Mytilus edulis: one gene and its partner. The protein of the gene in region 1 purifies or fractionates together with the protein of each later gene. This does not show direct contact. Links are inferred from orthologs where the notes say so. Each region holds a gene or a part of one and is shown on either strand. Other genes may lie near its edges. The genes, in order: ubiquitin carboxyl-terminal hydrolase CYLD-like and mitogen-activated protein kinase kinase kinase 7-like.

Region 1 (17,576 bases):
TAGCTGTATTAACAGCGTGTCTAGATGTTGGATCAGCTCGGATTTTATGCAGAGGCACAAACACCCCACAGTTTGGTTCACAAGTGAAGAACCGTTTCTTACGGAATACTCCATCACAAGTACCTTTACCTCTATGTTCCTGTAATACACAAAGTCATAGGTTATTGAGGTTAATATTTGCTTAAACATTCAGAATGTACAATCAAACCTGCTGTTAAGGTCACTGCTATGAAGGTCACTTCAATTAAGCAAAAACCTGTCACGTCACACTCTTCTTGTCCCACTGTAGTAATACCACATTCAGAAGTCACCTCTCTTATGAATTCATTATACTCTTGATCAGAAGGTGACCTTAAATCATAGTTTAGTAACTCTTGTGTAAAGTATATTAGTTGTGTACAATGCATATAACAAATGAAGATGTGGTATGATTGTCAATGAGACAACTCTCCACCAGTGACCAAATGACATAGAAGTTAACATCTATAGGTCACCTTACCTCACTCCTTCAACAATGAGCAATAAAGAAGCTGGTGTGCATGGTCAGTTCAATATCTTTCAAGATGTTTTAATTATTGGGGAAAAAAACAAGCTAGGTTGTAATCCCAATAATTTAAACTGGCATTTTGGATTTGATGGCAAAATTCTCTCAGTATCACAATAATATTAAGTCATTTTGGGATAAAATGACAAATTTGCAGCAATAATTTGCATAATGAAATTGAGAATGGAAATGGGGAATGTGTCAAAGAGACAACAACCCGACCGAAGAACAGAAAACAGCCGAAGGCCAGGAAACAATTTCAGAATTTGCAGTACAGAATAGTTCTCAATCATACCTCATTAGCATGATAAGTTATATTACTCTCAACATATTTAGTCCAGCATTAATAAATGTCTTTCTGCTGCCTCGAAGATCATCACAACAGCAATTTGATGTCAATCACTAATGCACAAGTGAATTTACATTTTGTTATGGGGAAATGTATTGATATGATTTTGTAAAATGTCACCTGAAAGTCACAAAATGGAGGGTCCTCATTTCCCAGATCACAACAAGCAAATATTTCACTTCCTTTGGTTACATTTTGAGGGATGCAGGCTTGGTACATCCCACAAAACAGATAGATAATTAAGATTTTGTTTATTACATTGATAAGTCTGTTAGGCATGTTAGGATATCACTGACTCATTATCTTGTGTGCTTGCTGACAAAAAGATCAAAGTATCATTTTTATATGCAACAGATCTATTCAAATTATCAAGACAAGAATACTTAGAAATTGTTGAGAGAAAAAGTTTGTGTGAAAATTTGAAAATGTGCATGTCTTCCATGCATAATTTTGTGGAATAATAACTGTTTTTTTTTGTTTTTCTTGTATCAAGCAGGTCTTCTAGATCAGTGCAAGCTTGCACAATATCTTAAAAAAAAAAAAAGGCCTACATGTATGTGACATAAATATTTGATAGTATGCCAAAAAAATTACGCCTACATACATTTGTAAATCTTTAGATTTTCAAAAAATCGACCACGGAAGTTACAAACAGAAATCATTGCAATGATATTAATAAAAAAGCATCATTTACCCCACGACATGGTGAACCACTCCTTAAAATAGTGGTCTGATCGTACAAATAAAAACACAGATTTGGTTTTCCGTAATAGGTCAAAATGTAAGTGACACTAAACGATAACTTTATGTAGTCAAAAGCTAAGAAAACTTCCTTAAGGCGATTCATTTAGTTTCAATGCGGTGAAAAGTCAGGTAAAACCAGATACCAGGACATTTTTCTCGAAAGAAAAGTAAAATAATAACAATTCTATCAAGTTAAAAATAGATCTCCAACATTCCTAACCTGTCGAAATCCATTTAAAAAATTTATGAATGAAAAACTTCAAAAAGTCATGCCCCTGTATGCAGGAAATACATGAACAGTTGCAATTGGTGGCAATGATTTGTGATTTATTTTTTGCAATGTTTTTGGAGGACATTGTGTAAGTCTGATATCCAGAAAATCAATGGCAATAATTTCAGAATTGATCACATTCAAATTTGGTAATCAGATTATTTTCCTTATAAATATTTATATATTTATGCATTTATTATTTGATCCTAATAATCCTAAATACAAATATCAATAAATAATTTTTGTACAAACCAAACTGTAAAAATTATCTTCCAATTTAAAACAATGTTGAATTCAAATCACCAAATATGAGAGGTTTGGGTCTGACTATCATCTTAATATCAGAATTCTAACATAACAAGATAATCTTAAGAATCTGAGTTGTTTCTAATGTAAAGCACAAAAAGGTCAACATGGTCAAGAGCCACGGAAAGGAGTCAATGGTAAAAGTCTACAGATTGCCTGACAGCAAGTTTATTCCAAAAATGTAGGTTGTGAGTTAAAACTAAGCTCTTGGCAAGTGCATTTGACTCTAATCTTAATAGACCATGATTGCCAGTTTTCGTGTAAAGGTACAAAATGTATATCCTTTTATAAGCAACAAATAAACCATATATCTGTGACACAGCTAATATTCCAAAAAGGCCCAAAAAATCAACACAATATTTTTATGCAATGATTCCTGCATTTTGGATTCTATACATTTGTAGGTTTTGTTTGCAGAAATCTGAGGAAAAAGTTGTTACAAGAACATTTGGGTATAGGAGAAAAATAGAATAAACCAACGAATGTTTAAACTTATATATATCATGTATATATACATATTATTACCAAACTGAACAAAGAAATAACACAACGGGTGCCGTATACGGTGCAGGAAATGCCTACCCTTCCGGAGCACCTGATTTCACTCCCGTTTTTTAGTGGAGTTTGTGTTGTTTCTTATTTATTATTTATAACTGTTGATGTAAATGTCCCTTGGTTTTATGAGTCTTTGTTTACTCCTTGATTTTGATTGCTATTGTCTTATATCAGATAAACCAAAGTTGAAGGATAGGTGAATTGAAAAGATATGATGCCCTAAAACATCATGCTACATGCATGTAAAACAACTGAAATATTTATTGAAAGTTTTATTATTCAAAACTTTTTGAAATTTGTTTTCCAAAATATAAATCCATATATATATAGATATGACTTTAACAACTACTAAAAAAAGCTGGTCTGTCAATTTCTGAAAGAAAGAAAAGAATGCATGTACTTTCCTGACAAAAAATAGGACCTTGTACAATACAAGAGTGCACACACTGAAATGTCTCGCCTTCTTTACTAATCATTGATATTATGTTGATACTCCTAAATATAAAGCTTTATTATGACTGTCACATAAACTTAACATAAATCATGAAAATGAGGTCAAGGTCAGTTGAACCATATGCCAGGCAGACATGTACAGCTAACAATGCTTCCATACAACAAACATGACAAATATAGTTGAGCCTATTGCTTATAGTTTAAGAAAATAGACCAAAACACAAAAACTTAACACTGAGCAATGAACCGTGAAAACCAGGTCAAGGTCAAATAAAACCTGCGCGACTGACATATAGACCATAAAATATTTCCATACACCAAATATAGTTGACCTATGACATATAGTATTAGATAAAAAGACCAAAACTCAAAAACTTAACTTTGACCACTAAACCATGAAAATGAGGTCAAGGTCAGATGACATCTGCCCGCTAGACATGTACACCTTACAATCATTCCATCCAACAAATATAGTAAACCTATTGCATAAAGTATGAGAAAAACAGACCAAAACACAAAAATTTAACTATAACCACTGAACCATGAAAATGAGGTCAAGGTCAGATGACATCTGCCCGCTAGACATGTACACCTTACAATCATTCCATACAACAAATATAGTAAACCTATTGCATAAAGTATGAGAAAAACAGTCCAAAACACAAAAACTTTACTATAACCACTGAACCATGAAAATGAGGTCAAGGTCAGATGACACCTGCCAGTTGGACATGTACACCTTACAGTCCTTCCATACACCGAATATACTAGACCTATTGCTTATAGTATCTGAGATATGGACTTGACCACCAAAACTTAACCTTGTTCACTGATCCATGAAATGAGGTCGAGGTCAAGTGAAAACTGTCTGACGGGCATGAGGACCTTGCAAGGTACGCACATACGAAATATAGTTATCCTATTACTTACGGTAAGAGAGAATTTAACATTACAAAAAATCTGAACTTTTTTTTCAAGTGGTCACTGAACCATGAAAATGAGGTCAAGGACAATGGACATGTGACTGACGGAAACTTTGTAACATGAGGCATCTATATACAAAATATGAAGCATCCAGGTCTTCCACCTTCTAAAATATATAGCTTTTAAGAAGTAAGCTAACACCGCCGCCGCCGCCGCCGGATCACTATCCCTATGTCGAGCTTTCTGCAACAAAAGTTGCAGGCTCGACAATAAATTATGTCTGTTACCATGGTTATTGTATATTGGACTGTATGCTGCCTGTATATTATTACTATTTTTTAAATGTTTGTTTTAGCATTGCATAACATGGGTTTTTTCATGGAGTTTTGAAATTTTATACTACAAAATTAATATAACTTCACTTGTTTAACAAAGTTATAACTCATGAATAGTACATCTATGTTACAAGTTATAAATGGCACATGTATCCTTTTTTCAAAGAATTTGAATTTCATGACCTGTATAACCTTCCTTTACTTTTACATACATGTACATTTGTAAGTTGATACCTTAGTCTGCTTCGTTTGTTTTCATTGGTGGAAATTTCCATCCAGGACAATTTATAAGATGAATTTAAATTTTAAAGAAGAAACTGATGTATGTACAATGTACTCTGTAAGTAGTTAAATTTCTTGTTCATGTAAGTAAACATGTGCCATGTATGCATGATTACAGAATTAGAAAATGTAGAATTAAATACATGAAATATATAAATAATGCCTTCAATTTCTAGTATTCATCTGGCATCAGGAAAATTTAAATATTAAATATCTATACTAGTTACATGTAAAAAGTCTTATCTGCTTATACTTTTGTACAATGTACTTTTGCATTGTCACATTCTATAAACATGATAAATAATTATATTTTGTATATATTCTAACAAAATTTTCTGGGGTACTATTCATTGTCCTTATCCTTAATTTCAGGAAAAACAGGAATCAGAAATATGAATACTATAAATTCAGAAATTATTGCGATGTTTTTATTAATGCAAAAATGCCAAAGGTTTACATTGCAATAATTTAAACTCTCGTTTTGAAAAATTTATATGAACTTATTGGATATTTCTCAATATTGCAAAAATTAAGATCGCATTTATAGATTAATTTTAGTCTAAAATGACAAAATCGCGATAATAAATGCACGCAATAATTTCTGAATTATTGTATAAATTTGTTAGCTCTGTACACACTTTTTAATCAAGTTTCATAAATTAGGAATTCAATTGACTTATTAAACAAGTTACAAAAGATGACTGCATTTTAACAGTCAGGGATATAACTCTATCGGGTTATTACAGAAAAATAACATACATTTGTTATTGTGGACTGAAAAATCAAAGAACTGTGATAACATATATGTATGTTACATGTTTCAAAGGGACAATATACATCATCAGTTTAGTTTAAATGTATAAAAGTTCTCTTGATATTACTTTTGTCTATTAGTAAACTTAACTATTGAAAGATACAATGTATAACAGTTCATACATGTAGTTTGTCAATTTTGCATAGTACACCTATATCATGTATATATGTTATTGCAGAAAAAAATTGCCTGTAATAACTAAAGGGTGTTGTCACAGCTTCTCTATATCATATATATATGTATTCTTATTTATTGTAAGAAATAATGACCAGATCTAGAGCATGTAATGTCATGAATGTTCTGCACAAGTTTCTCTGTAATTCCCAAGTGTCTTATATCATGTATATAAAAAGTTATATTCTTTTAATAACCTAGCCTTGTTATCACAGCTAAGTTTATCCCTTAATAGCCTCCGTCTTATTGATTTACCATGGTTAATAAAAAATGTATTAATTAAATTAAAGAATTAGTTATCAAGGCTATGTATTTAGTTTCTGCGCAAAGTCTCAAGAGTTCACTAGAGCCCACTATAAATGAAATAATTTTACAAATAACAAATATATTATGTTATTACAGATTTCAAAAAATTTAAGGAATAAAGAGTAGACAACTCATGAAAGTAACTGTAATCACACACGCAAGTTATTTTCTGTACCCTATAGAGTTATAAATATCTCTGACTGTTTATGCTTTAATTTAAACATGATTTTAATAGGTAAATGTACAGGTACAAAATGTACTTTCATTTTAAATAAGTCCTGCCGACACCTCATGTTGCATTATTACTAAATTTAACTGAATTGTAATAAATTAGATTTTAGAAATCAGTGTATTTTCATCTTACCTGTTATTTCCTGACCTCTGACATAATTTAATTCAAACTTTCCATCTTTTATTTTACTTTCTGTTTCTATCTAAAATTATGTTAATAATGAAAAGCCATTTTGTAAATCTTGCATCATCAAGAACAGAGATATGGGACTCACTTCATAATGCTTGAAAACATGTTTAACAGAGAAACATGTGCAGAAAATTTTAGTAATATCTCGAATAAATCCGGATATTTTTGTCCGATACTGTTCCGCGGACTAGTATCTTATGATAAACCTCTGAAATATTTTGAGGATAGGGCTTCTTACCGGAGCTAATTCGACTCCAAATTGGATTCCTTTTTGTCCTGGTAGCTCTCCTCTATACCTGAGAAGGCCCTGTAACTCAGGGTGACCTTTTAAATAAACAATAACTCCATCTCCAACCTTTAAATTGAGGCCCTCTTGAAGCCAATTACTGTTCATGTAAACTGCAATCCTTTCACTACATACTGGGATAGGCTGTAATAGTTGTAGTTCCAATCTATCAATTTGTTTTATTTCATCGAATACTGGTTTACATTCTACTTCAATGTTTTCCGGTTCTAATGTTTCTAGGGTCCAAATTGCAATCCCATTTTCGTCCCTCTCACTATCGCTTACTCTAAGCAGAAGTGTGCCAGCTAGGACTTCCACACGAGAATATGATTTTCTAAGAATTCCTGACTCCTTCTTTTTCCCTATCTTTGTAGTAAGAAGTATATAGTATTCATCTTGAGGATATTCAGACATATCCAGTCCTATTTCATCGACATTTGTTTATATTCGTGGCATCATCAAACGGGGAATCATTATCGAACTTTGGGGAACTCCAAAACGCTTAAAATAGACTGATACGTCATAATACCACAACAAAAGACAACGAACGACATATGATACTTATGGAACGCGTAAAGCACATTAATAGATAATCACAGTTTATCGGCGACAATGATAGATTATCGGTCGACCATTATAGATGTACGGCGTAAAGTATACTTTACGGTCGACCATCATAGATGGTCTAATTAATGTGACTCGCGCGCAGACAATGATAGTTACTTCTTTGATAATGCATTTACAGTCGACAAGGTGAATTGTTTCGACAATGATAGTTAACCTCGACCAAGTGAATTAAAACACAAGTCGTAAATTTGATAATTTTAGATAAAACCGGAAATGCTAGCCAATTGTAAAATCGATTTTGATTGGCGGTCAACTTATTTTCTTTGGAAGTTAATTCCTTGAAAATAATTCCTTAAAGCAAAAGTTACCCTTTCTAAAACATGTTCAACAGGTGTTTTAAAAAATAAATTTCGGACTTCACATCCTTGTATTAACTATGATGGTAAAGTGCATCGGACTATTCGTGCAACAGAATGGACACAAGAGGAACATAGTTTCCAATTTTCAATCCTCGAATATTGAAGCTTCTTGTAAAATTTAAAAGTTCCACACATAAATAAAGTTTTGTTTTCTCTATCGTTTACAAAGTAAAATACCTTTTATTATCATATACATGTATATTTGTATTTTTTCTCTTAAAGGTTTGATTTTTACAGGTAAATGCATATTACAGGTGGCTAGATGATCACATGTTTACCTGTAATATTGCTAAGAGGTGTCAGAAGTTAAATTTCTATAACAACTGACCCCAATAAACGTTGACATAACAGGGAAAAAGTGTTTTTTAAAGAATTTTATAATCAATAAATTAATTCGAGACTGTTTAACAGTAAGAAACAAATTTTCAACATTCATAAACAAGAAATCTTTAAAGATTTATGCTCTATGGTTCTTTTTTTGTGTGTAATTATTTGGGTTGTTCTTTTGTTCAGAAATCTATATATCATTTCATATAATAATATTTTATGAAGTTAGTGTGTCTTAACACTGATTAGGACTCCTAAGTGCACTAAAAACTTATAATACGACACTCTTGACAAGAAGGAGTACTATTAAATGTAAAAAAAAATCATGTTTTGTTAGAAATTGATATTTAATGCATAAACTCAAAATAATAAAATAAACAGAATAACAAATAAATGAAGTATTTAACAATGTTAATCTTGCCGGTTTTTCTTTGATTTTACCGAAAATCGATGAACCGCAAGATATGGGTCAAATTACATATCTGATTACTCTATTATCTTAAAAAAAAATGAAAATTTTAAACTTATTTGCATAAGAAAATATCTCAGACATTATATATGTTTAACATAGAAAATACTTTAAGATTCCGTGAATATTATTTTTAATAAGACATCTATAGATAAAAGCTTAAGTGTACCTTGGTGAATTCAATGTTGTGATGTCATAGCAGATCTTAGAATACAGAAAGTTGTTACTTATAACGATATTTTTATGAATTGACAAAAAAACATTTGTCCCGGGTAACCGTCCTCCCCCTCTATGATTTGTTATTGCCGAAGTGGGAGGCTAAAGTTTAAAAAAAAAGCCGCGACCTAACACACTACAGAACAGCAGACAGTGGATACAACATTTGATATGTTTTAAAGACACAGTTGGACACAAAATGATTGCACTGGGTAACTTCAACTATCACATGATGCCCTATGAATTAATTGACATACTTGAGCTTGTCTTAGGAATATATTCTCAATGAACAAAAACGATTTCAGTAAATGTTTACTATAAAAACAGACAACAGACTTGCTGTCTTGAATACAATTGTGGCTTGTATTGTTTAATTCATTTTTAAAGCAACATTTGATCGATTGTTGGTATGTGTTTTCTCATTTTTACGGCTGTAATTTGTTTTCAGCTTTGCCAAATTAGTGGAGATAACTCAGATAAAGTATTTTTACAATTATAGAAATGACCTATTTTAATATGTAGCATTTGATTTTTTTTTTGGGGGTGGGGGGTGCTATGGATTTTTTTTTGGAAAAAAGTTTGTTTCCAGGTTTTGGAGAAAAATAATATTTGTTTTTGACCTTGAGAAAAAAAAGTGTTTGTTTCATCCTCAGCTGCCACTATATGTAATTCTAAAATTGAAAGAAAAAAATTGTTTTCGTCTTTTCGCCAAAAAAAAGTTTGTCCAGAAAAAAAAGTCCTTGCCCCTCCCCCGAAATTCAAATCTGCCTAAGAGCTATATACCGTAATTTTGATTACTTTTTTCTCAGTAAATTTTTAAATAGATATAGAATTAATGAGTGCAATTTAGAAAAAAGGAAAATTCATTTACATTCTTCAAAAATGAAAAAAAGTATTAAAGGTTATTTTCCAATATTCCCGTTGTTTGTGCATGACTCTTCGATAACTAAAAAGAAGAACCAGACTTTCATAAAAAAAATTAAGAAGATGTAGTATGATCGCCAATGATTCAACTCCAAAATAGACCAAATGACACAGAAATTAACAACTGTATGTTACCATATGGCCTTCAATAAGGAGCAAAGTCCATACCGCATAGCTATAAAAGGCCCAAAATGACAAATGTAAAAACAATTTATGCACGGAATCATGAAAACAAATATGTTTTACAGCAACAAACGACAACCACTGAATGGATCCTGACTTGGGACAGGCACATATAGAATGTGGTGGGTTAAAACTTATTCGAAGACACTAACCCTCCTAATATCCTGTGACAGTGATAAAACAGTACAACATAAGAATAAACTATAATTAAATTTAGTGGAAAAAAGCTTATATCATCAGTTGGGTACAAACAAAAATACATCTAACAAACCAAAAAACACAGAGTGCTATGACTATAGGATATTAATCAAGTGACTGCTATGATCGTAGGTTATTCTTCACGTAACTGCTTTGACTAAAGAATATTCATGATATTCATCAAGTAACTGTTTCTACTATATGATTTAAATCAAAGTAATTGTTATGATTAAAGGTTACTTATTAAGTACATGCTATGACTATAGGTTATTCATCAAGTGTCTGCTATGACTATAGGTTACTATAGAATATTCGTCATTAAACTGCTATGACACTACGATATTCATCAAGTACCTACTTTGACAATAGGATATTCATAAAGTACCTGCTATGACAATATTATATTTCTTGTGAAACTGCTATCACAATAGGATATTCATTAAGTAACTGCAATGATTGCAGGATATTCATCAAGCAATTGCTATGACGATAGAACATTCAAAAAGTTATGACTATATGATAATCAACAAGTAACTGCTTTGCCTATATGATATTCGTCAAGTAACTCCTATGACAATTTGATATTCAACAAGTACCTGCTTTGAGTTAGTATATGATATTTATCAAGTACATGATATAGCAATAGGATATTCATCATGAACTGCTTTGACTATAGGATATTCATCAAGTAACTGCTTTGACAATATAATATTCATCAAGTACATGCTTTGCCAATATGATATCATTCAAGTAACTGCTACGACTATAGGATATTCATCAAGTACATACTTTGGCAATAGGATATCTTTCAAGTAACTGCTATGACTATATGATAAACTTCAAGTACCTGCTATGACAATAGGATATTCATCAAGGAACTATTATGACGATCGGATATTTACCAAGTCCCTGCTTTGACTATAGAATATTTATTAATTCCCTTATTTGAATATAGAATATTCAACACGTAACTGCTATGACAATAGAATATTCTATCAAGTACATGCTATGACAATAGGATATCCATCAAATAACTGCTATGACTATAGCATATTCATCAAGTACCTGCTATGACAATAGAATATTCATCAATTCCCTTATTTAAAATATAGGATATTCAACAAGTAACTGCTATGACAATATGATATTCATCAAGTACATGCTATGACAATAGGATATCCATCAAGTAACTGCTACGACTATAGGATATTCATCAAGTACATGCTTTGGCAATAGGATTTCTTTCAAGTAACTGCTATGACTATATGATAATCTTCAAGTACCTGCTATGACAATAGGATATTCATCAAGGAACTATTATGACGATCGGATATTTACCAAGTCCCTGCTTTGACTATAGAATATTTATTAATTCCCTTATTTGAATATAGAATATTCAACACGTAACTGCTATGACAATAGAATATTCATCAAGTACATGCTATGACAATAGGATATCCATCAAATAACTGCTATGACTATAGCATATTCATCAAGTACCTAATATGACAATATTATATTCATCAAGTAACTGCTATGACTATAGGATATTCATCCATTCTCGTATTTGAATGTAGGATATTCAACAAGAAGCTGCTATGACTATAAGATATTTATCTAGTAACTTCTATGACAATAGGATATTCATCAAGATCTTGATATGACAATATGATATTCCTCAAGTAACTGCTATGACTATAGGATATTCATCCTTTCTCGTATTTGAATGTAAGAGATTCAAAAAGCACCTGCTTTGACTAAAGGATATTCATCAATTCCCTAATTTGAATGTAGGATATCCAACAAGTAGCTGCTAAGAATATAGGATATCCATCCAGTACCTGCTATGACTAAAGGGTATTCATCAAGTTACTGCTATGACAATATGATGTTGAAAAAGTACCTGCTTTGACAATAGAATATTCTTCATTAAACTGCTATGACAGTATGATATTCACCAAGTACCTACTTTGACTATAGGATATTCATAAAGTACTTACTCTGACAAAAAGATATTTCTCAAGTAACTGCTATCTTAAGAGGACTTTCATCAAGTAACTGCTATGATTGCAGGATATTCATCAAGTAACTGCTATGACTGCAGATTATTCATCCAGCATCTGCGATGACAATAGGATATCTTCAAGTAACTGATATGACTATAGGATGTTCATCATGTACCTGATTCGACTATACGATATTCATCAATTTTCTTATTCTAATGTAGGATATCCATCCAGTACCTGCTATGACTAAAGGGTATTCATCAAGTTACTGCTATGACAATATGATGTTGAACAAGTACCTGCTTTGACTATAGAATATTCTTCATTAAACTGCTATGACAGTATGATATTCATCAAGTACCTACTTTGACTATAGGATATTCATAAAGTACCTGCTATGACAATGTTATATTTCTCAAGTAACTGCTATCACAATAGGATATTCATTAAGTAACTGCAATGATTGCAGGATATTCATCAAGTAACTGCTATGACAATAGAACATTAAAAAAGAACCTGTTATAACTATATGATAATCAACAAGCAACTGCTTTGCCTATATGATATTCGTCAAGTTACTCCTATGACAATATGATGTTGAACAAGTACCTGCTTTGACTATAGAATATTCTTCATTAAACTGACATGACAGTATGATATTCATCAAGTAACTGCTATGACTATAGGATATTCATCCTTTCTCGCATTTGAATGTAGGAAATTCAAAAAGCACCTGCTTTGACTAAAGGATATTCATCAAGTACCTGATATGATTATACGATATTTATCAAGTAACTGCTATGACTGCAGGATATTCATCAAGTAACTGCTAGTACTATAGAAAAATTAACAAGTACCTGCTATGACAATAGAATATTCCTCAAGTAACTGCTATGACTATAGGATATTCATCAAGTACCTGATATGACAATATGATATTCATCAAGTAACTGCTATGACTATAGGATATTCATCAAGTACCTGATATGACGATAGGATATCCATCAAGTAACTGATATGACTATAGGATATTCATCAAGTACCTGATATTACAATATGATATTCATCAAGTAACTGCTATGACTATAGGATATTCATACATTCTCGTATTTGAATGTAGGATATTCAACAAGAAGCTGTTATGACTATAGGATATTCATCATTTAACTGCTATGACTATAGGATATTCATCATTTAACTGCTATGACTATATGATATTCATGAAGTTCCTGCTATGATAATAGAATATTCATCAAGTAACTGCTTTGACTACAGGATATTCATCAAGTACCTGCTTTGACTATAGGATATTCATCCATTCTCGTATTTGAATGTAGGATATTCAACAAGAAGCTGTTATGACTATAGGATATTCATCATTTAACTGCTATGAAAATAGGATATTCATCATTTAACTGCTATGACTATATGATATTCATGAAGTTCCTGCTATGATAATAGAATATTCATCAAGTAACTGCTTTGACTACAGGATATTCATCAAGTACCTGCTATGACTATATGATATTCATGAAGTACCTGATATGACAATATGATATTACTCAAGTAACTGCTATGACTATAGGATATTCATCCATTCTCGTATTTGAATGTAGGATATTCAACAAGAAGCTGTTATGACTATAGGATATTCATCATTTAACTGCTATGACTATAGGGTATTCGTCATTTAACTGCTATTACTATATGATATTCATGAAGTTCCTGCTATGATAATAGAATATTCATCAAGTAACTGCTTTGACTACAGGATATTCATCAAGTACCTGCTATGACTATATGATATTCATGAAGTACCTGATATGACAATATGATATTACTCATGTAACTGCTATGACTATAGGATATTCATCCATTCTCGTATTTGAATGTAGGATATTCAACAAGAAGCTGTTATGACTATAGGATATTCATCATTTAACTGCTATGACTATAGGATATTCATCATTTAACTGCTATGACTATATGATATTCATGAAGTTCCTGCTATGATAATAGAATATTCATCAAGTAACTACTTTGACTACAGGATATTCATCAAGTACCTGCTTTGACTATAGGATATTCATCAATTCTCTTATTTGAATGTATTTACATGTACATGATTTGGAGCAGATTTTATTTTGCAGGAATAAATTTGTATTTCAGAAAGAAATTTATTCATAAAATAAGAAGGATTAGCATTTTTTTTTAATAAAATAGAAATTGGATTCCAAAAAAAAGGGAGGGCTAGATGGGTTTTTGTTGGCATTGGATGATTTACAAAGATAAGTTGCATGTACGCATCATGATAGATGTAAATTCTGAAGCTATAATTAGTTAATTTGTTAGTTTTTCCATTTCAGTGGCATGAAAACCCCCCCAAATACTAAGCGTATAATTTCGACGAATACTCTCGACTTACAGTGTAATGTAACATTTTGCTCACATTTTTTTAAATTTTACCCCGAACATTTTTCTGAGTAAAAGCAGTTTGAAGTGAATGTCAAAATTTGAACATGACCTTGTCCTTGACCTAATTTTCTAAGTTGGGACCCAAGGACCTTCAATAAAGCGACTCTATGTTTATACGGCTTACGGTTTATGAGTTTATATGCATATCACTTATATCAAATGCATAAGGGGAAAGAACTTTGGTGCAATCCAAGTCATCATCTTGAAGATATAGCAAGCACTTTGGTAAAATAAATTTGTCGTAATTTTTTACGGTTGTGAAGGAGTAGTGGACACAAGGAAAACAGTGTTCGGGGAGATAACACTTACAATGTAAAGTGTACGGTTTAACAGGGTCAGTTTCAAAAGCGCAATAACTGTTCGATATCATATGCGAAAAAATCTAGGCGACATCTTGCGAAACCACAATACTACGTAAGAACAAAATGTGGCGGAAGAAAAACAATAAATCTCAGAACAAAACCAATAGGTCTTTCCACGGAAAAGTTTAAAGACCTAATAATCAAAACCAAATAAATGGGTCTTTCCACGGAGAGGTGGAAAGACCTAATAATCAGAACAAAATCAATAGGTCTTTCCACGGAAAGGTAGAAAGACCTAAGTAATATGATTGTCAATGAACTATGAAAGTTTTACTATTATTCTAGCAAATAACCTTATGTCATCTCCGTGCCTATATCATCGTCCTAAGAATATATGAAATATTTGCCTCTGAACGTTAATCAACCAATAATCGATAATTCATTAATATGTCAAACCATTGAAGGTAACATGGAAACTACGTACAAACTAGTATGATTGTCAATGAACCATAAAACTTATACTATTATACTACCAAACAGCCTTGTCTCTATATTATAGCCCTAAAAAAACATGAAATATGTGCCACTAGATGTTAAGCGACCACAATCAAGATTTCATCGCTATATCATTTCAAACCTTATACAGAACATGAAAACTAGTTATAAATCAATATGACTGTCAATGAACTATGGAAGTTATACTATAATACTAGCAAACAACCTTCGGCCATCACTATATCATCGTCCTACACATACATGAAATATTTGTCACTGGCATTAAAACAATCACAATCAATAATTCGTCGTTATTTCAAGTCAAACCTTAGTTGGAAACATGGAAAATAAATACAAATTAATATGATTGTCGATGAAATATAGATGTTATACTATTATACTAGCAAATAACCTTAGGTCATCACTATATATATATATATATAGCTATTTCATCGTCCTAAACATACATGAAATATGTTCCACTGAACGTTAAGCAACCAACAGTCAATATTTCATCACTATTTCAAACCATTGAAGGTAACATTGAAACTAATATGATTGTCAGTGAACTATAGAAGTTATACTACTATAAAAGCAAACAACCTTATATCATCACTATACCATCATCCTACACATACATGAGATACTTGCCACTGGGTTTTAAGCAATCAACAATATATAATTCTTCGCCAATCGTATCAAACCTTAGAAGTTACCATGCAACCTGATTACAAATAATATGATTGTCAATGAGCTACCTATGGAAGTAATGCTATTATAATACAACAGATCGTTGGCGTTTTAATGGGCGGAGTTGCCTTCCTGGAAATATTTTATATTGCTATATTTGACAATGACCATAATAATAAACAATAAAATAAAGCAATATCTTACAAAAATAATATCAAATTGCACAAAAGAACGAGAAATAATGGATTTAATATATTCAAAGAAGACGGTGAACAAAAACTATTTGAATTTAATTCCTTTACAAATTGCGAGAATTATTAGAAACAATAGCAACATGTACAAAATTTGTTTCTGAATATATTCTGTCTATAGATATTCATTGGTTATAGTTCTGCCAAATTAAAATATTTTGATTCTTTCAGATTAAGCTGTCTGCCTGTGAGGCTTACTTTCTTTTACAAATGTTTCACCGTCTATATGATTCTTTTTTGTTTCTCTTGATAAACTTTATTTAATTATGTACAATTAGATATTCACTAGACAGTATTTGTTGGCCTCTGATGAGGGTTTACCTTGGAATATTCCTGAAAGAACCCGAAACATTGCATATTAAATTCTATAGAATTAAGCAATATAAAGTACGTAGTGTCAGGTCAGAAATATTGATGCCATACCATGAATAAGTGGATTTATGGTTATTATATACACCAAACAAATAAAAAGCTACTTTCTCGGCATTTCTTTTAATTTAAAAATTAAAATCTGGTAATGATCAGTTGATATTGCAAGAAACTTTTCTGTACCGCATTTATTTGCTAAGGTTTGCTTCTTAATTACACAGTAAAATTATATGTGTCCGATTTTCCAATAATTAGTTCTGTAGCCCGAGTTGTGACTGGATTTACAGGTGTGCGATTGCGCAATTTATTGCCCTCCAATTAATCACCTGAAATTAAGCTGGAGGTGAAGTTCTAAATGGATTATCACTTGGTAATTGTTTTTACAACTAAACAAATTACTTTATTTAAACAGAAGCACTGGGCAATACTATGGTATTCAATCCGGAAAAACAATATATGTCACGGTACATATATATTATATATATGTGTGTCTCTGTTAATGATAAAAAAAAAAAAATGCACGATTTTTTAATATAAAATATTTGATATAAAAAAAAATATTTTGTTATATTAAAAATGATAAATGATGCATTAATATAGAAATTAGAAAGTAAATTATTCTACAACGACTTGTATATGAAATTAGTACCAGTTATAACTTATTAACTTTGTCACGGTAAAATTATTATAAGTATAATAATTAATAACTGTAAACTTGCATGTAATATAATTTCGTCTCAATTTTTACAGATAAACAGTATTCTAAAATACTATTAATTGTCGGTTGTTGAGATCTAGCTAGACGATCAATTTGACTTAAACGCGTTGTCATTTGAATCGATGGATATGATTGGACAAAATTAATTAGCATTGTCGATAACCTATTGTGATTGGGTACATATGAATTGCTATCGAAAACAG
Region 2 (16,762 bases), on another chromosome or scaffold:
GGAATATAAAGAAAATAAAAAAATTCTGTTTTGAAAAAAATAGGTGCGGGCGGGTCCGTCGAACAAGGGATCAAATTGGTGTGGCCTTACAGACACATAAAAAATTGTACTTATTGTACACATTTTTGTGTAGGTGCCAGCTGAAGTCTGCCTCCAGTTGGGGTATTTTCTTGCTGAGTTGAAGACCTTGGTGGGCATCATCATTTTTTGCTCTCTTTGTTGGGTGGTTGTCTCTTCAAATATAAGGTTTATCTATACCTCTATTTTGCAAATCATTGGTACCATAAATCAGAATAATAATAAATGATCTAAACTCTCCAAACCACTCACGTCCCAGCATTTTATGTATAGCTCCTTTCTCATCCTCATCACTCTCATTATCTACTGCCTCAGCCTCTTCTCCATTCAAGGTAAGTAACTCTTCTCGTAATTTCTGAAAAAATATAAATAATGCTCTGAATGAGTCAGTATAAACAATGAAATGTCATTATTCTTTTTATTGACAATTTGACTTTGCATTTTAAAATTATGTTTTTGATGTTGTTCAAAACATGAAATAAAATGAAAAAGTAGGTAAAATTATTTTACTCTAATAAGTTTATTGGTTGTATGAATTGAAGTTACATTGATAATTCAATGTGAATGGATATGAACATGTGAGCTTGCTGCTCTGATATTTTCAAGTATCAGGTTCTGTACATTATCTAGACAAATATTAGGCAGTAAGATCAAAGGGAAAATGTAATAATTTTATTCTTTAATTCTGCCCTTATAACAATGTATAACCAAAACAATTGTTGAATTTTTGTCTCACCTTTATGTGTGCGTCTCTGTCAACCTTTGGAATAACTTCAAGATGTTCAACCTGGACAGGTTCCTGTTTTATGATCTTTTCTTCTTTATGCACCTCTTCCTTCTCTTTCTGCATTTCCTTTTTTAGCATCTTTGCCAGTTTTTTGCTGTGACTAGATTTTTTAATCTTGATTTCTTCTCCTGAAATATTGAAAGGGAGTTAAATCAAAGACATAGTTCATGTACATATTTCAGATAGTTTTAAGTAGTATAGGGTAAAGTTAAAGTAAAGTGACGCCACCAAAATTCAAACTGGATCTGTGTTTTGAAGTAATAAGCATTGTGTATCAGTTTCATGACATTTGGTGGAGGCAAACTAGAGTAAGAGAATGGAAACCAACTTAGGGACGCACAGGACATACAGAGGGAAAAGGGTAAAACTGTGTTTCCGTAGTCCTATTTCCGTACCTATCTTATATTCTAAGCTTATAGAGTTAGACATAGCCTTCCTTAAAGTTTTTCTGGTAATTTTTCAGTTACATGTAGCACTGTTAGTCAAGAAAAATCAAGTGTTGAAGTGAGTTGACAATGTCAGAGGGTGGTAATAGGGGTACCTTCATGAGGAATAACAGTAAAAATTATTGCCAAATAACGTTAACAGTAATTTTTGGTGCATGACGCTAAAATGTACAATCTCTTTAAGACGATAAAACAATCAACTGATTTTGAGAAAAGAATCTTGTTAATTTTCAGTACTACTACTAGTGATATTGTTTGCCTTAAATTACTGGAGAATAAAGGCTTTTTCCCCTGGAGAAGAATCCAAATTTGAAAAAAAGGTTTAAAATTATTTCCCAAAAGACATTTTTTTTCCCCAAACAGTGCAGTCTCAGTAGTAGTTGTGCATGAACCAGTCTTCACAATGAACTGTTAAATCTACAGGCCAGTAGCTCAATTTAAGAAATTTTTTAGTTAGATTCTGTTGGCCTGTAGATATGATTTTATTATTTAACAGGCCCAAGAGCAATTTTACAAGCCTGGGCTGCCATTTAGCATGAAGACGGCATGAATATAAACTGAAAAAACACTCATTTTAACATTTTTCATGCCTAAAATGACCCTATATATGCAGATTTGAGGGTCTATTTATGTATCATTACTGACAATAAGACGGTCTTATTTCAAATTAGGTTTTTACCTCTTGAAAAGGGGATTGCAAATTGAAGTTCCAGTCAAATTCTTGGTTTATTATACATTTCCCAATTTGAAAAAAATGATGGATATTTTCCCCAATACCTTTTTATGTTAATCTGTTTTGGCCTTTTTAAAGGTGTTGTTAAGGTGGCTCCTGGGTACAAAAATTTTAGCAAAAAATTAAACCTTTATTTTTTCATTACAAGTTTTATTTATTACACTATTAGTTATAACTTTATGATATGGTACAAAAATCAACCCAAAAAATTGATTCAGTTTGGTCCCAGATGACTTTTAAAATGTTTATATCATTGAAAAAGCTCCAAATTATCTCCCTTTGGTGCAAAAATGCCATTTTTTGTCATTTAATTTGAAATATCTTTTTTAACTCATCGGTGACCTATATTTTTTATTATTGTTTTCAAATAAGCTGTACATAAACTAAATAATTGTAAAATTTAAGCGATTTCTGTAATTAGGTTATTTTTTTATTTCGATATTACATCTATTTCTCCTATTAGTTCAACAGAAAAAAAGGACATTAACAAAAATTTATGCTTGTTCCAGAGGCAGATTGTGAGCTTAAATGAACGGTGACCCCATCTTTTTATTTCATTTTTCTTTTAAGTATATGATAAAGTTCATTTATAAAAAAATATATCGAAATCCTATATTAGAAAAAAAAATTGATTTAACTGTTAACTATTTTCAACCCACTTTGTTAACAGCTATCAGCATTTTTGCATTTGTTGTTAACTGTTTTTGTCCAATTTGAGGTGTTGTTAACATGTTAACGGACCCCCTATACACCTTATCGCTATTTGTCCGACATTACTGGAGACATGCTGGCCACGGATATCACACAGGTTCCCGTAAAATTTTGACGTCATAAAGCAAAATATCTGACGCCACAATGGAAAAGTGATTGTTATATGCATCAAAAGTTCAAGCGGTCGGGTCAGCCGGGATTAGCGATAAAGTGTATTGCCCCCCCCCCCCCTTTTCACTGAACTACAAAAAGTCTGAATGAACATTCAGAACAAGTTTAAAATATTGACAATGAAGAGGTCTGACACCCAAAATTGTAGGTGTCACGCATGACCGATATGCATTTTATTTATATAATTACAGATATCTAAATAATATATATTTTAACCTTCATTTTGTAAATCATGGACAAAACTCAAAGACGATTTCGCTTCTTTTTTACTCTTCTTTGATTTTTTGGAAAGCTTTGGTCCTTCAGCATCATTAGACTGTTCGTCAACTTCCATTTCTTGTACATCGTCATCCTTTTCTTCGTCTGATTCCTCTTCTGTTACAATTTTTCTACCTCGAAAATTACGTCGCGGCTTTTTAAACGTCGCCATGTTGCTTCAACAGCATACACTAAAGTGTTGATTTGAAATAATCATCTGGTAACCCTAATTACATCAATCAAATCAAATCTGAATCAAAAGCTTAATTTACAGTCGGCATGTTACATACCAATCGATTCTTTCTACTTTTATACTTCCTTTTGTTTCATTGTTCGCAGATATTTAAATTATACAAATGCAAAACGAGTAATAATGTATTTCCGGCTCCGCATTATAGTTAGTTTTACTGTTCCAGACCATACGAGTATTTGGACTGTAGGCGTACGGCCCGGACCGTATAAGTATACTCGTGTGGTCCGACCATACGCGTACGGTCCAGCTGACCATACATGTTTAGGTATCATATCATATGGATTAAATCTAAGAAAGAAAAACCAATTACCAAACATTTGTAGTTTTAGTTCTACAAGATGTTATTTTTACATTAGATGGATAAAGGAATAAGCGTACAATTGAAATTAAATGTTTGTTTAATTCTATATCTGATGATTCTATTTATGTACTCTCGCTCAAGTTGACACTTACTACCACAATGTTATTATTTTTTTTTTTACATTTACATGTTTGCAGTTCATGCATGTTTCTTTGCATATGCATTCTTGTTTTAAAGTTCCCAAATATTCTAAAACAATTGTCCCCCTTCATTTTGTTTACATCCGTTAACTTCAATTTCAATGAGCATTACTGCCATGCTAATATAATTACAGGAGATTAACAGATTAAACTAGCGTGACCTTTTTAAAAAGTTAAAATATTAAGTCAGTTTCATTTCAATATCTATTGAACTTTTTGTATTAATTTGAAATATAAGATTTGTTGATCTGTTATTTACATTTGAATCTAATGAACTAACTTCTTAATATTAGCCAGACCGTACGCGTATATAAGATAAAAGTCCCAGTTAATTATACAAAATTATATATTTTTAATATATTGTCGAGGGGGATGATGCATGTGATGACACTGATCCGGTAAGGTTGCAACATGCGGTCACTCATAATGGGAATTGCAGTTAAAAACCCTCCCATTTTAACGAAAATGCCTTTAATATACTCATAATAGCATACTGATATACTTATAGTTACTTTAAAAGTCACCATTATTCATTGTTCTAAAATCCGGGCCCATGGTTTCTTTTTCAAGAATCAACTCTTATTCATTGATGTTAATAAAGTAATCAGGCGTAGATCAGAAGAATATAACGTTACATAATTGCGTCTAAATAATTGTTGCTCTTTGTTTGTTCATCATTGTTCTGTTTGTTTCATCACAAATAAGAAAGGACTCTCCCTTGACACCATTTGCGAGTATATGGTCTTTAGAAAAGATGATAGTCCGTTAGAAGCTAGGGGACGATAAATGGCTTACCCATGTTAAGAGAGAGAGAGATATCTCTTACACGTAAACTGTACACCCTTATAGATTTCGAAAAAAAACAGGCCGCAGTAATGCCGCTACAAGACACTCGCACCCGCAAAGTAGAAAGGGATTAATATAAGTACCAATAAACTGTTTCCGAATCCACTATAAATAATTATGTTTAAACTAAAGGACTCTAACAAATATACTATATTCATTTTGTTTTAATTTTGATCTTTTAAAAAATGAATTGCTTTTGCCTAGTTGGCTTATAAATCACAGCTGTTGCAATTAAGCAACATTGCATCAAGTAGCTAGAGGAATGTGATGGTTATTTGCCTCCATTTTCAAAACAAAACTGAATTCGGTTATTTTTTGCACCGGGTCTAAGTGAATAAACTCATCGTATAGATATCATAAGGAACAATGCTATTGTTGTTCCGCGGTTATCGTTTGTTGATAATGATGTGGTTTATAAGTGTTTCTTATTTTTTTTAATAAATATTAGACCGTTGATCTTCCTGTTTGCATTGTTTTAAACTAGTTATTTAGTTTGGACCCGTTATATAGTTTGTTGTTCGATGTGAGCCAAAGCTCTGTGTTGAAGGCCGTACTTTGACCTATTATGGTTTACTTTTTCCAAATTGTGACATGGATGGAGAGTTGTCTCATTGGCACTCGTACCACATCTTTTTATATCTACTCAATTATTTAATTAATATGTGATTTTATAGCAAATATATGGTAGTATCTAAGCGGCTTTAACAAATGCCTGATCCATACTGTAAAGAAACAGTGATGGCTCATGAGAGGGTTCTGAGAGTTATTACATTATAACACGTCAAGTTCTTTGGAAACCTTCAACGTAACAAAACATATTATTTCATGTCTGATTTTTAATCTAAAACGATCATGTTTGGTTTATATGATCAAATTTTCTATTTCAAACTTTTTTTGTATTCAGTGACGACCGGAAAAACTAATTCTATAATAACCAGAAATGTAAAAAATAAAATAATGTCTGTGCATGTAAACAGGGGAACTTGGACCGAAAAATGAAGTTAAAATAGTGGATATACCGGTATCAGATATCATATATATTATTTATATATGTTGCCCTACAGATATTACCACCATTGTATACTTTTGGCCGCTACACGAATATCTCGTTCTTCTTCCAGGTAAGGAACCGGATTCAATACTGAATGTTCATGGTTCCGCGCGAAAACTTTACGCAGTGTCGGGCAACACAGAAAGCTTTCTTTTGGCTATTTACAAATACATTTAAAACGTTCGCAAAAATATACAATTAAAATTATTTACAACTGGGTTTTCCTACTTCCTTTCAGAGCATGCCTTCAGGGCAGATCTGAATCCCTCAACGGTGTTGGTCGCTGTAACTGTTGTTGGTAGGTTGTTCCAGTCCCTGATTGTCCTCGGAAAGAAAGATTGGCCGTAAGTGTCTGTACTTGTTCTTTCTTGGAAGAAGCGGTTTTTACCTCTGGTCCGGTTATCATTCGGTGTCAAATATTGGTGACGGTCGATATTTATAAAATTATGCTGGATCTTAAATAGCATTCATAATCTATTTGTTTTCCTCCGTTCTTCTAGACTTTCCCATTTCAGATTTTTAACCATATTTGTGACACAGCCAGGTGTTCGGTCTGTGTAGTTGTTATTCACAAATCGTGCAGCTCTTTTCTGGACCTGTTCAATTGCCTTGATTTTATTTTGGGCGGTTGGGTCCCATATTGTGCTTGCGTATTCCACTGCAGGTCTTACCATGGATACATACTCAGCTGCCTTTACAGGTTTTGTACAGCCTTTGAGGTTTCTACGTATAAATCCCAACGTTCTGTTTCCTTTGCCTACTGTATTGTCTATGTGTTTATCCCATGTTAGGTTGTTGCTGATAGTTACTCCAAGATATTTGCTTGCTTCCTCTGTGTCTAGAGTATGACCGTGTAGCTGGTACGATGTTTGTATCACTGGTCTATTTTTTGGGGATATTCTGATGACAAGGCATTTTTTTTGGCATTAAAACTCATCTGCCATTTGTTTTCCCAGTCTTCCAATGCTGTTAAGTCCTTTTGAAGTAGTTCACTGTCAGCTTGGTTGGTGATGGTACGAAAGAGTAGGCTGTCATCCGCGAACAATTTGGTCTCTGATGTAGATGCTGTTTCTGGCATGTCGTTTATGTAGGCCAGGAACAGTAATGGACCAAGGACTGTGCCTTGGGGTACACCAGAGAGTACTGGTACTTGTGAGGAGACAGCACCCTCTAATATCACGCTCTGCTTTCTGTTATGTAGGAAGGAGCGAATCCATTTATTGGTTTTGGGGTTGACGCCATAGTATTCCAGCTTGTGTAGGAGGCGGTGATGTGGTACCTTGTCAAATGCTTTTGCAAAGTCTAGCAGGATGATGTCTACTTGGCCGCTGCTTTTTAATTTTGATGCAATGTCGTTGATGGTTACGATTAGTTGGGATTCGCGTGATCGTCTTTTGCGGAACCCGTGTTATGCATCAGTTAGTATTTTATTTTTGTCAAAGTGGTCCATGATGTTGCTGTGTACAATATGTTCTAAGACCTTACACGTGATTGAATTTAGAGATACTGGTCTGTAGTTAGATGCTAGGTGCCTTTCGTCTTTTTTAAAAAGTGGAACTACATTGGCATCTCTCCAATCTTGCGGGACTTCACCAGTGTTCAATGATGTTTGGTATAGGTCTGTGAGTATCGGAGCAAGTTGTTCTGCTGCTGCTTTCAGTATAAAGGCTGGTATTGAGTCGAGACCAGTAGCTTTATGCGGTTTCAGGTTTTTTAACAATTTGTGGACTCCGTTGGTACTAATTTTTATGTCCTTCATGGTGTAGTATGGACTTTTTCCTTTATCTGGAAAGTTATTTAGGTTTTCTTTGGTAAATACTGACTGGAATTGATCGAGGCGGATCGAGCCACATTTAAAAGGGGGTTCCCAACCCAGGAGAAAGGGGGATTCCAACAATATGTACATATTCAATGCATTGATCGTCAGTAATATCTGGTGGAAAATGATCTACTTTATAATTTATAAGCTGGTTCCAGATCTGCTTATTCTACAGATACATGTCTTATTCATTTGTTAGATCATATTAAAAATGAAACTGCTAAGGGTTTTTATACTGGAATGATAATGTTAGATTTACAAAAAGCCTTTGACACTGTCGACCATCTTATATTGTGCAACAAACTACAAAAAATGTAATAAATGGTTTGAATCATATTTATGTAATAGACAACAAAAAGTTAGTATAAATGGTACTGAATCTGATTTAAGATATATTACATGTGGAGTACCACAAGGGAGTATTTAAGAATCACTTTTATTCCTATATTATAATCTATATGTTAATGACATGTCTATAAGTATTAGTAAAGACTGCAAAATTTTACTATATGCAAATGATAGTACCATACTATACTCTCATAAAAACCCAGAAGTTATATCTGAGAAACTTGGTAAGGAACTTGAATCTTGTAGCAAATGGCTGATTGATAATAAATTATCACTTCATTTGGGGAAAACAGAAACTATTCTGTTTGGGTCAAAACGTAAATTATCTAAAATCCGTAACTTTGATGTTACTTGTAAAAATCACACAATTTCCTCGCAATATTGTGTGAAATATTTAGGCCTTAATATAGATAATTCTCTTTCTGGAGAAATTTTTTTAAATACTATTATTCAAAAGATAAATTCAAGATTGAAGTTCCTATACAGACAGGCAAAATGTTTATTTGAACAATCAAGAAAGACTTTAGTTACAGCTTTAATTCAATGTCATTTTGACTATAGGCCTGTTCTGCATGGTATGCTGGTGTCAGCAAAAAATATAAAGATAAGTTACAAGTATTACAAAACAAATGTGTTAGATTTATAAAAAAAAAAAACCACTGGATATAGTTCAAAAGTTGACCATAATGTATTGAATAGTATTGGTTATGTTAATATTGAAAATCGTGTTAAACAATTGAGATTAAACCATCATACATAATATTTATTACCATCATTGTCCTAATTATATTATTCAAATTTTATACAACGGTGAGAAATTTACATCATCATTTCACACGAAATAGTGCAACAATAATACAATAATAATTTATTAACGTCTCACCATCAATAATACAGTATACACATTTCACATTATAAAAGTAAACCTTTTTAAAATTATTAATGCCATAGGAATATAACTTCTGGGTTCCTCCAGTTAAAGACACATTTTATTTTAATGGCATACAATTAAGATTGGAATATGTTGCCAATTAATGTTAAAAAAAATAAAGAAAATAAAGAAATTCAAAATTAGCGTCAAAGAGCACTTGGCCAAAAGTTATAGTGCGGCGTCATCAGACTCCTTTTTATATTGTTAATCATATTTTTATATAAATTATTTTTATAAGAATTTTTATGTCATATTGATTTCTGTGTTATCTTTTTTGTATGTCGAAACTATAAGCCGTTTCCATGAAGGGACCCCATTGGAAACAAGCTTTAGAGTTTTCATGGCCGTTATCCCTGATAAAATACAGTCAGCAAATTTTTCATACACTTAAGGATACTGCACTCAAAATAATGCCAATATATTTTACCATATATGTGTTAGTATTGTCTTTATGTATCGTATATATTGTGTATTGTAATCATCATCATCATCATCATCATCATCATCATCATCATCATCATCATCATCATCATCATCATCATCATCATCATCATCATCATCATCATCATCATCATCATCATCATCATCATCATCATCATCATCATCATCATCATCATCATCATCATCATCATCATCATCATCATCATCATCATCATCATCATCATCATCATCATCATCATCATCATCATCATCATCATCATCATCATCATCATCATCATCATCATCATCATCATCATCATCATCATCATCATCATCATTTTAATGATTATGATTATTATTATTATTATTATTATTATAGACAATACCATCCAGAAAATTCACTCAGATCAGTACTTCCACAGATGCCTACAATTACAGCTACAAACTACGCACCATCACTGACTGGAACAGCCTGATTCTTGAAACCTTCCAAGCTAGTCTCTGGAAAGCTTCAAGGAGCAACTTCGGAGACTGCAGCTGTAAACAGAAACCACCTGTTTTTATCGAATTTTAATTGCAATTGTAAATACTGAGCACGCAGGTTGACGTTTGCACAGCAGTATCTGCGTTATGGATGTCCACTGCAGATCAATAGTATAGATTTAGATGTAGATGTAGATGCAATGCGTGTCAAATTCTCTTCACTGCACCGTCCAAACGACGTTAACTTTTCAATTAGTTGATTATAATTTAATTCCAATTACATTTGAGAGAGTGTCCAAACTTAAGTTTAAATCGAATTAATGTTAATTAACCGTTGGCAAGGCCGAACTGACACCATGGCCGAAACGTCTATTTTCATGTACGCATATACTAGTAAGTAGTCATTAACTAACAAATATGCATGTGCTGATTTGTGTCACGCCATATCCTTTACGTTTCTTTTATAAAGACTTGTTTCGTTGACGTTTGACAAAATCTTTAATCCTGAAACACCAATATCACTTTAATTAACATGAACATGAACATGCGATTGTCGTATTCACAATCGCGCTTGTTCGGTAACTTCCGGATGATTCCGGAATTATGGTTTAGGTTGATATCGACTGCATAACATGAACACATCAGTGTAACATGATTTGCTCTAATTCCAAAACGAGTCTCCCAAGTTCCTCCACTTTCAGTTCGACCAAAATATGGGCAGGGATTTTTTAAAACCTATTTCATGGAAAAGACGAACGTAGATTTATGAGTATTTAACTTAAAATGGAACCCACTTTTGTGGAGGAGATAGACTTTCGAGAACTACAATTCTACGAGGTTATGCTTCTTGTATATTTGTTTATATATGTTAGTCTGTCAAACCCTGTCCATGTTTTGATTTTCATAATCATATTCTCCATTGTATTATTATAGCTTAGAGTAGACATAAAGTTATGAAAGATACGATTACATTATGTTTGTGCATTGTCAACCACTATGAGTAGTAATCAGGTGGACAAAAACCTTTTAGATTATATGATAATTCTACAGTACAGCTCTAAAAAATTGACAATTCGGCCGCTGCTTCAACTTCCAAATTCAAGATGTGTCCGCCAGTACAGCCAAACTGTCAGTTAGGCCGTAACATGTGTGTTTATTTTTTTTTAAAATGAGTACAAAAAGTTACTGTTTCATTAATCTTTGACATGTATGGTTAAACAGACACATTGCACTCATTTTCGTATCGATTCAAAATACAGCAATGTCATCAATTATCGATACTTTTAGATTTTACAAATTCCATTTATACTGATTTAAATCTGTCACCAAATCTCCTAAGGCAGCAACCATTTGATTTTCTGGGGGGGGGGGGGGGGGGCTACAGATTTTTTTTCTGGACAAACTTTCTTCTTCGCCTGTGGCGAAAAACTAAACAATATATTTTTCTCGCGACAAGTCGAAAACAATTTTTTCTTTCAATTTTAGCATTACATATAGTGGCAGCTAAGGGGGAAACTAAACATTTTTTTTCTCTCAGAATCAAAAACAAATTGTTTTTTTCTCCAAAAACTGGAAACAAACTTTTTTTTCCAAAAAAATCCATAGCCCCCCCCCCCCCCCCCCAGTTGCTGCCTAAGGCAGTATAGATTATTCAATATTTTATTATGTGGGCCGGATCGACTTTGGGCCGGATTAGTTTGGAGACAGAACGACCGGATACCCATTATCTAAAGAAATGAAATTTATAAATTTGTAAACCAATAAATTCAGCTGGTAGTTGCTAAATTTACCACTTGTCATGCTTGAGAAAGAGTTTTTGGCTTTCCTTCATGAATCATTATTATTCTTATCATCTAAAAATTCTTTATATTAAACTCTTTTTATATTTCTGTTAATGTTATGTCATAAATAAATTTGTGTTTCCATGATATTGATTGAATTTACTTGGTTTTGTGTGGTTTATTTTGTTACATTTGATCATGACATATATCATGTATATATATTTGTACATATGTAAATGTATCTTACTTTACTATAGCTTACATGTACATATGAAATATTGACCAAAAAACAAAATTGTTCTTGTGGGAAGATGGATCAAATTTTTAGTCCTCAACTTTTTTTCATTTATGCCAATAAATAACTTACTTTTTAAATTTTTAAATTTGAAAAAAATATTTGTACATGTACAACATATACTTATATATCATTTACACCAGAATGTCTAATCTCAAACAACTGTCCATTGTTTAAAAGTTGCAGTTTAAAAATTTAGTACAAAATCATTGAGTTTGATACATTGTACAATGAAGATGTAATGTTGGAAATATATACTGTATTGTTGTTGATAGATAGAATGACAATCATTTATTTAAAATAATATTGTTTTAATTTTTTTTGCAGGTTGTAGGGAAAGGAGCATTTGGAGTTGTCAGTAGAGCAAAATGGAGATCAAAAGATGTTGCAGTAAAACTAATAGAAACCGAATCCGAGAGGAAAGCTTTTATGACAGAGTTAAAGCAGCTGTCAAGAGTTAATCATCCTAACATAGTCAAACTGTATGGTGCTTGTACTAAACCACCAACAGTAAGTACATTGTATATGGTTTAAATATGATCATGATGATAATGCATGTTTGTGGTACACCTGATCGTGCTGATATTTACAGTCTGCACAGTTAGCCACTAGTCCGATGACCCAGACTGGTAAAATTTCATTCAGACTAGTAAGTTTTTGCAAAACTTTGTTTGGACTAATAAGAAAAATGTCAGAATATTGGTCTTCGAACTAGTAGTTGAAAAAGTTTTTGGTGCAGACTGTATTTAAAAGAAATATTTCCAAGTTGAAACTTTGAAAGAATAAAAAACTTCAAACTAAAAAAGTTAAAAAAGATGTGTTTGGTTGTAGACATAGGTAAGAGATGAAAATCTGAAAATATTTCGCATCAGATATAAAGTCATCTTTTTCACACATATTTTCTGCATGTATTTATTAATAAAGGGAAGCATGTATTATAAAAAATAAGATGCTGTGTGATTACCAATGATACAACTGTCCATCCAAGTCACAATGTATAAAAAAATTAACAATTATAGGTCAAAGTATGGCCTTCAACACAGTCACAGAGCCTTGGCTTAACTGGAACAGCAAACTATAAAAGGCCCCAAATGACTAGTGTAAATCAATTCAAACAGGCAACACCAAATCTCTAATCAATATAAAAGACTAGAAACAAGAAACACCTATGAACCACACCAATAAACAACAACCACTGAACAACAGGCTCCTGACTTAGAACAGGTGTTTAAAAAATACAGTAGGTTTAAACAGGCACCAACCTTCACCCTAACCTTAGACCATGGTGTTACATTACAACATAAACAGACAAAGAAAATATATTAATATATATATATATATATATTAGATATTTTATTATACATGTACAAAGATTGCATGTTATTTTAGGTATGTCTTGTAATGGAGTATGCTGAAGGTGGCTCACTGTATAATGGTAGGTACTATAAACAACAGAGGTGTGTCAATCTTATTGAAGTACAGATGCTGTGTCCACATTTTGCTTACAAGTTTCAGACAATGTACATGTTCTGTCTTACATTCTGTTTTGAAGACATTTCCAGATCCTCTGGTTTTGATGAAATGAAACACTTCTTAAAAATCTCCTGGACAGGCACTTTCAAGATGAGCTGCAAAATGTGTCTTGAGTTATCTTTTCTAAATGAAACAGCTGCTTCTTCAATAGAACAAAAAGAACATTTGATTTATTACATAATTGCTCGAAAAAGGTTATAAGTTTTAAAATGGAAAGTCAATTTCATTGTAAAATAAAAAAAGAAAAATGTCTAAGCTAACAAAAACTTGACGAAACCCAAAAAATAGAATTTAGCCTTGAAAAAACAGTGATAAAATCTGATTCTCCTGAACAGCTAGCGATTCTTGTTCAATCACAACCAATTGCAATGTTCAAAGAAAAATATGATTATTAATAATTGCTGATAATATAAACATGATAAAAATAAGATGTTGTATAATTTCCAATGCGACAATTCTCCACAAGAGTCAAAAGGGATCATAAATATAACCAAATGGTACAAAATGTAGATTTCTATTGTCGCATTGCATAATTTTAAGAAATTTTCTACTCCTCTGAATTTCTGAATTCATTGGAATAATTACAAAATAGTAATTTGTTTTGTTTATGTTAAATATTGTTTCCTTATTCGACCTGCTTTAAAACTAATATACTTGTATATTGTAGTGCTTCATGGTGCTGGTCCACAACCAATTTATAACACTGCCCATGCCATGAGCTGGTTGCTTCAATGTGCCATAGGTGTGGAGTATTTACATGGCATGAAGCCGAAAGCATTGATCCATAGAGATCTGAAACCTCCAAAGTAAGTATAGAAAAAGCGTACCTAAATAAAGAAGTTATATATGATAAAGACAGACCATAAGAAAAAAAGGGCCATAAGAAGACAAAAAAAAGTTGTCTAATGATTTTACAAGTATGTTGGTGTCAAAACCTTATTTATATACTGTGGATACATAATCATTAGCGGGATACACATTTTACTGGTACAATGAACCTCAAATTTGGAAAATCAATGAAATACACATTTATAAATTTGTTAAACTGGGAAAATTAGAAGCCCCCAAAAAATCAATTATTCCCAAATACAAGAAAATTAAACAAGGAAAATAAATTAATTCACAGACTATTCATGTACATCACTGTTCCCTGATAGTTGTTGGAGTATAAAAGCATGTCCCTCAGAGTTAACATCCACAATTGGATTCCATTATTTTCCATCCAATTCTTCTTTCTTTATACTCAAGATAATTTGACATTATTCCTTGTTGCATCTGATTGATGGAAACCTATGAAGTATTTCAAATTACATATACATGCAATATATTCTACTAAATATTATTATTGAACCAGTTAACTATTAGATAAAGTATTCATTTCAAGAGAAGACATCCAATTAGAAATATATCTGAACCTACAGCAAATAACATATTTAAAAATAACACAAAAAGGTTACAACTTAATTTTAATTTCATCAACAATAGTTTATATGATCTGAGAAAAACTTTGATTATCTCCCTTTGAACAGCAAGTTAGAAAGGATGTGTTTTTCTTTTGTTTTATTTTACATTATGCTTTTTCTCAGCTACACCTAGATCAATAAATAATAGATTTGTTAATAATGTTAATTAAGATTATTGTCTTTATTTAAATGCAATTTTTTTTTAATCTGAAATTTCTATTAATGAAAATTTTGTGAGCTTACTCTTCCTCATCTTCTTTTATGTTTAGGGTAGTTGTATAAGAACAATATCAGAATGCATATAATATTACAGCAAATCCATTGAGTGTGAAGCCAAAGGTAATATCTTTGGTTAGCTTGCTTGTTAGCTGAACCGTGAAGTCATTGTTAGGTTAGGTAAATTACCCTACTTTAAGAATAGACTAGTCCAACAGAAAACCAATCGATCTGTCTGTTGGACTATGCTACTTTGAAAGGAGGGTAGTATACCTTACCTTATAAAGACTTCACGGTTCAGCTAACAAGCAAGCTAACCAAAGATATTACCTTTGGCTACACACTCCAGTGCTCTAGCTAGAAATCAAAAGGGGCAGGGTGCCATTGGAGGGCAGGGCACTTTTTATGATAAGAAAAGGCACTGCTCATTTCTTTGTCTACGTTTCTGTGTGTATCACGAGTTAACGAATCTCTTTTTTTTTTTTTTACTGTATATGTTTTTTTTTTTAATAAAGATGCTTTTCAACTATAGTCTTTATTTCATTGTTTGTGTAGTTATGAATGATATTGTACATCTTCATCAACATATTATGTTTTTACAGTTTAACTTCACTCTACCCATTATCAAAGAATATGTGGGTTTTTTTTTTTTTTTTATCTATATAGGAATTACAGCTTTTATTATTTCTTAAGCAATTGAGAGCATTACTAATTTAACAATGTTTAGAACATGGATTGCTAAAAGTATAATTATCAAGTAGAAATTGCAATATATATTTTTTAATATGTCCAAAGACAGTTAATATCTTTAAGGTAACATTATTATGTTATTGTATATTCAATTGGTAATTTATTCCTTTTTTTGATACTAGATAATATTTTTAGAGCACCAATTTGTAATAAGCTAAAACAGGGGAAGTAACTCCAAAATCAATTTCCACCACGTTTGGGTTAATTAAAAACTGTGCTTGTCGCTAACAAGTTGAGATGGAAGGCATTTCTGTAAAGGCATAGTTTTATTCTGATGACTTAAATTCAATTCTAAAGTCATGAAAGTCTTCATTTATATACCCTCTTCCATTGTGACTTGGAGATCGAAAATGCCGACCCAAGCTAAAAGACACTCGCTAACACATTCATCAAAAGTATGACAAAAAGATACATTGTCCTAATTAAATTACCTAGTTATTAACACCTTTGAAGTCTTTATCATTGTAATTGATTGTAATGACATGATTAACCTGGGGGCCCGGCAATCACACAGGTGTCATATATGTAATTAACTTGGAGATCAGAAATCGATGAAACGTAATTTTACCAAAACGGCACAAGATAATTTTGGGAAAAGACGTCAGGGCAGAAGGGCGCGGATGAAGGCACCCAGGGCGCGGCTAAGGGCACCCAGGGCGCGGCTGAGGGCACCCAGGGCGCGGCGCCCTTCTATTTTGGGCTAGCGAGACCACTGCACTCAATGGAATCCGCTGTCAGCAGTCAATCAATAATCATATTACATTCCAATACACATTTGAATTATACCTGTACTGCTATGCCATATTTAAATGTTTTTCATCATTTGCAGATTTAGGTATGAATCTTTGATTGTTTTTGTTAAATTTTTTCCACCACTTTATAGACTGT

What was found.
Region 2: the proteins of ubiquitin carboxyl-terminal hydrolase CYLD-like (region 1) and mitogen-activated protein kinase kinase kinase 7-like purify together in Homo sapiens (affinity purification with western blotting; 4 studies listed by BioGRID, with this or other methods). This does not show direct contact. The link is inferred for Mytilus edulis from reciprocal best matches to the Homo sapiens genes CYLD and MAP3K7.

The regions. Positions count from the first base shown.
Region 1 is NC_092348.1:95,287,689-95,305,264, reverse strand, and holds the start of ubiquitin carboxyl-terminal hydrolase CYLD-like, read right to left. Parts: upstream 7,324-17,576; 5' UTR 7,179-7,323; coding exon 6,717-7,178; intron 140-6,716; coding exon 1-139. UniProt on the Homo sapiens protein: Deubiquitinase that specifically cleaves 'Lys-63'- and linear 'Met-1'-linked polyubiquitin chains and is involved in NF-kappa-B activation and TNF-alpha-induced necroptosis.
Region 2 is NC_092353.1:40,916,973-40,933,734, forward strand, and holds the start of mitogen-activated protein kinase kinase kinase 7-like, read left to right. Parts: upstream 1-10,479; 5' UTR 10,480-10,619; coding exon 10,620-10,673; intron 10,674-12,239; coding exon 12,240-12,422; intron 12,423-13,301; coding exon 13,302-13,347; intron 13,348-14,112; coding exon 14,113-14,251; intron 14,252-16,762. Other genes in the region: PAX3- and PAX7-binding protein 1-like, read right to left, coding at 331-433, 815-993, 3,143-3,356. UniProt on the Homo sapiens protein: Serine/threonine kinase which acts as an essential component of the MAP kinase signal transduction pathway. Plays an important role in the cascades of cellular responses evoked by changes in the environment.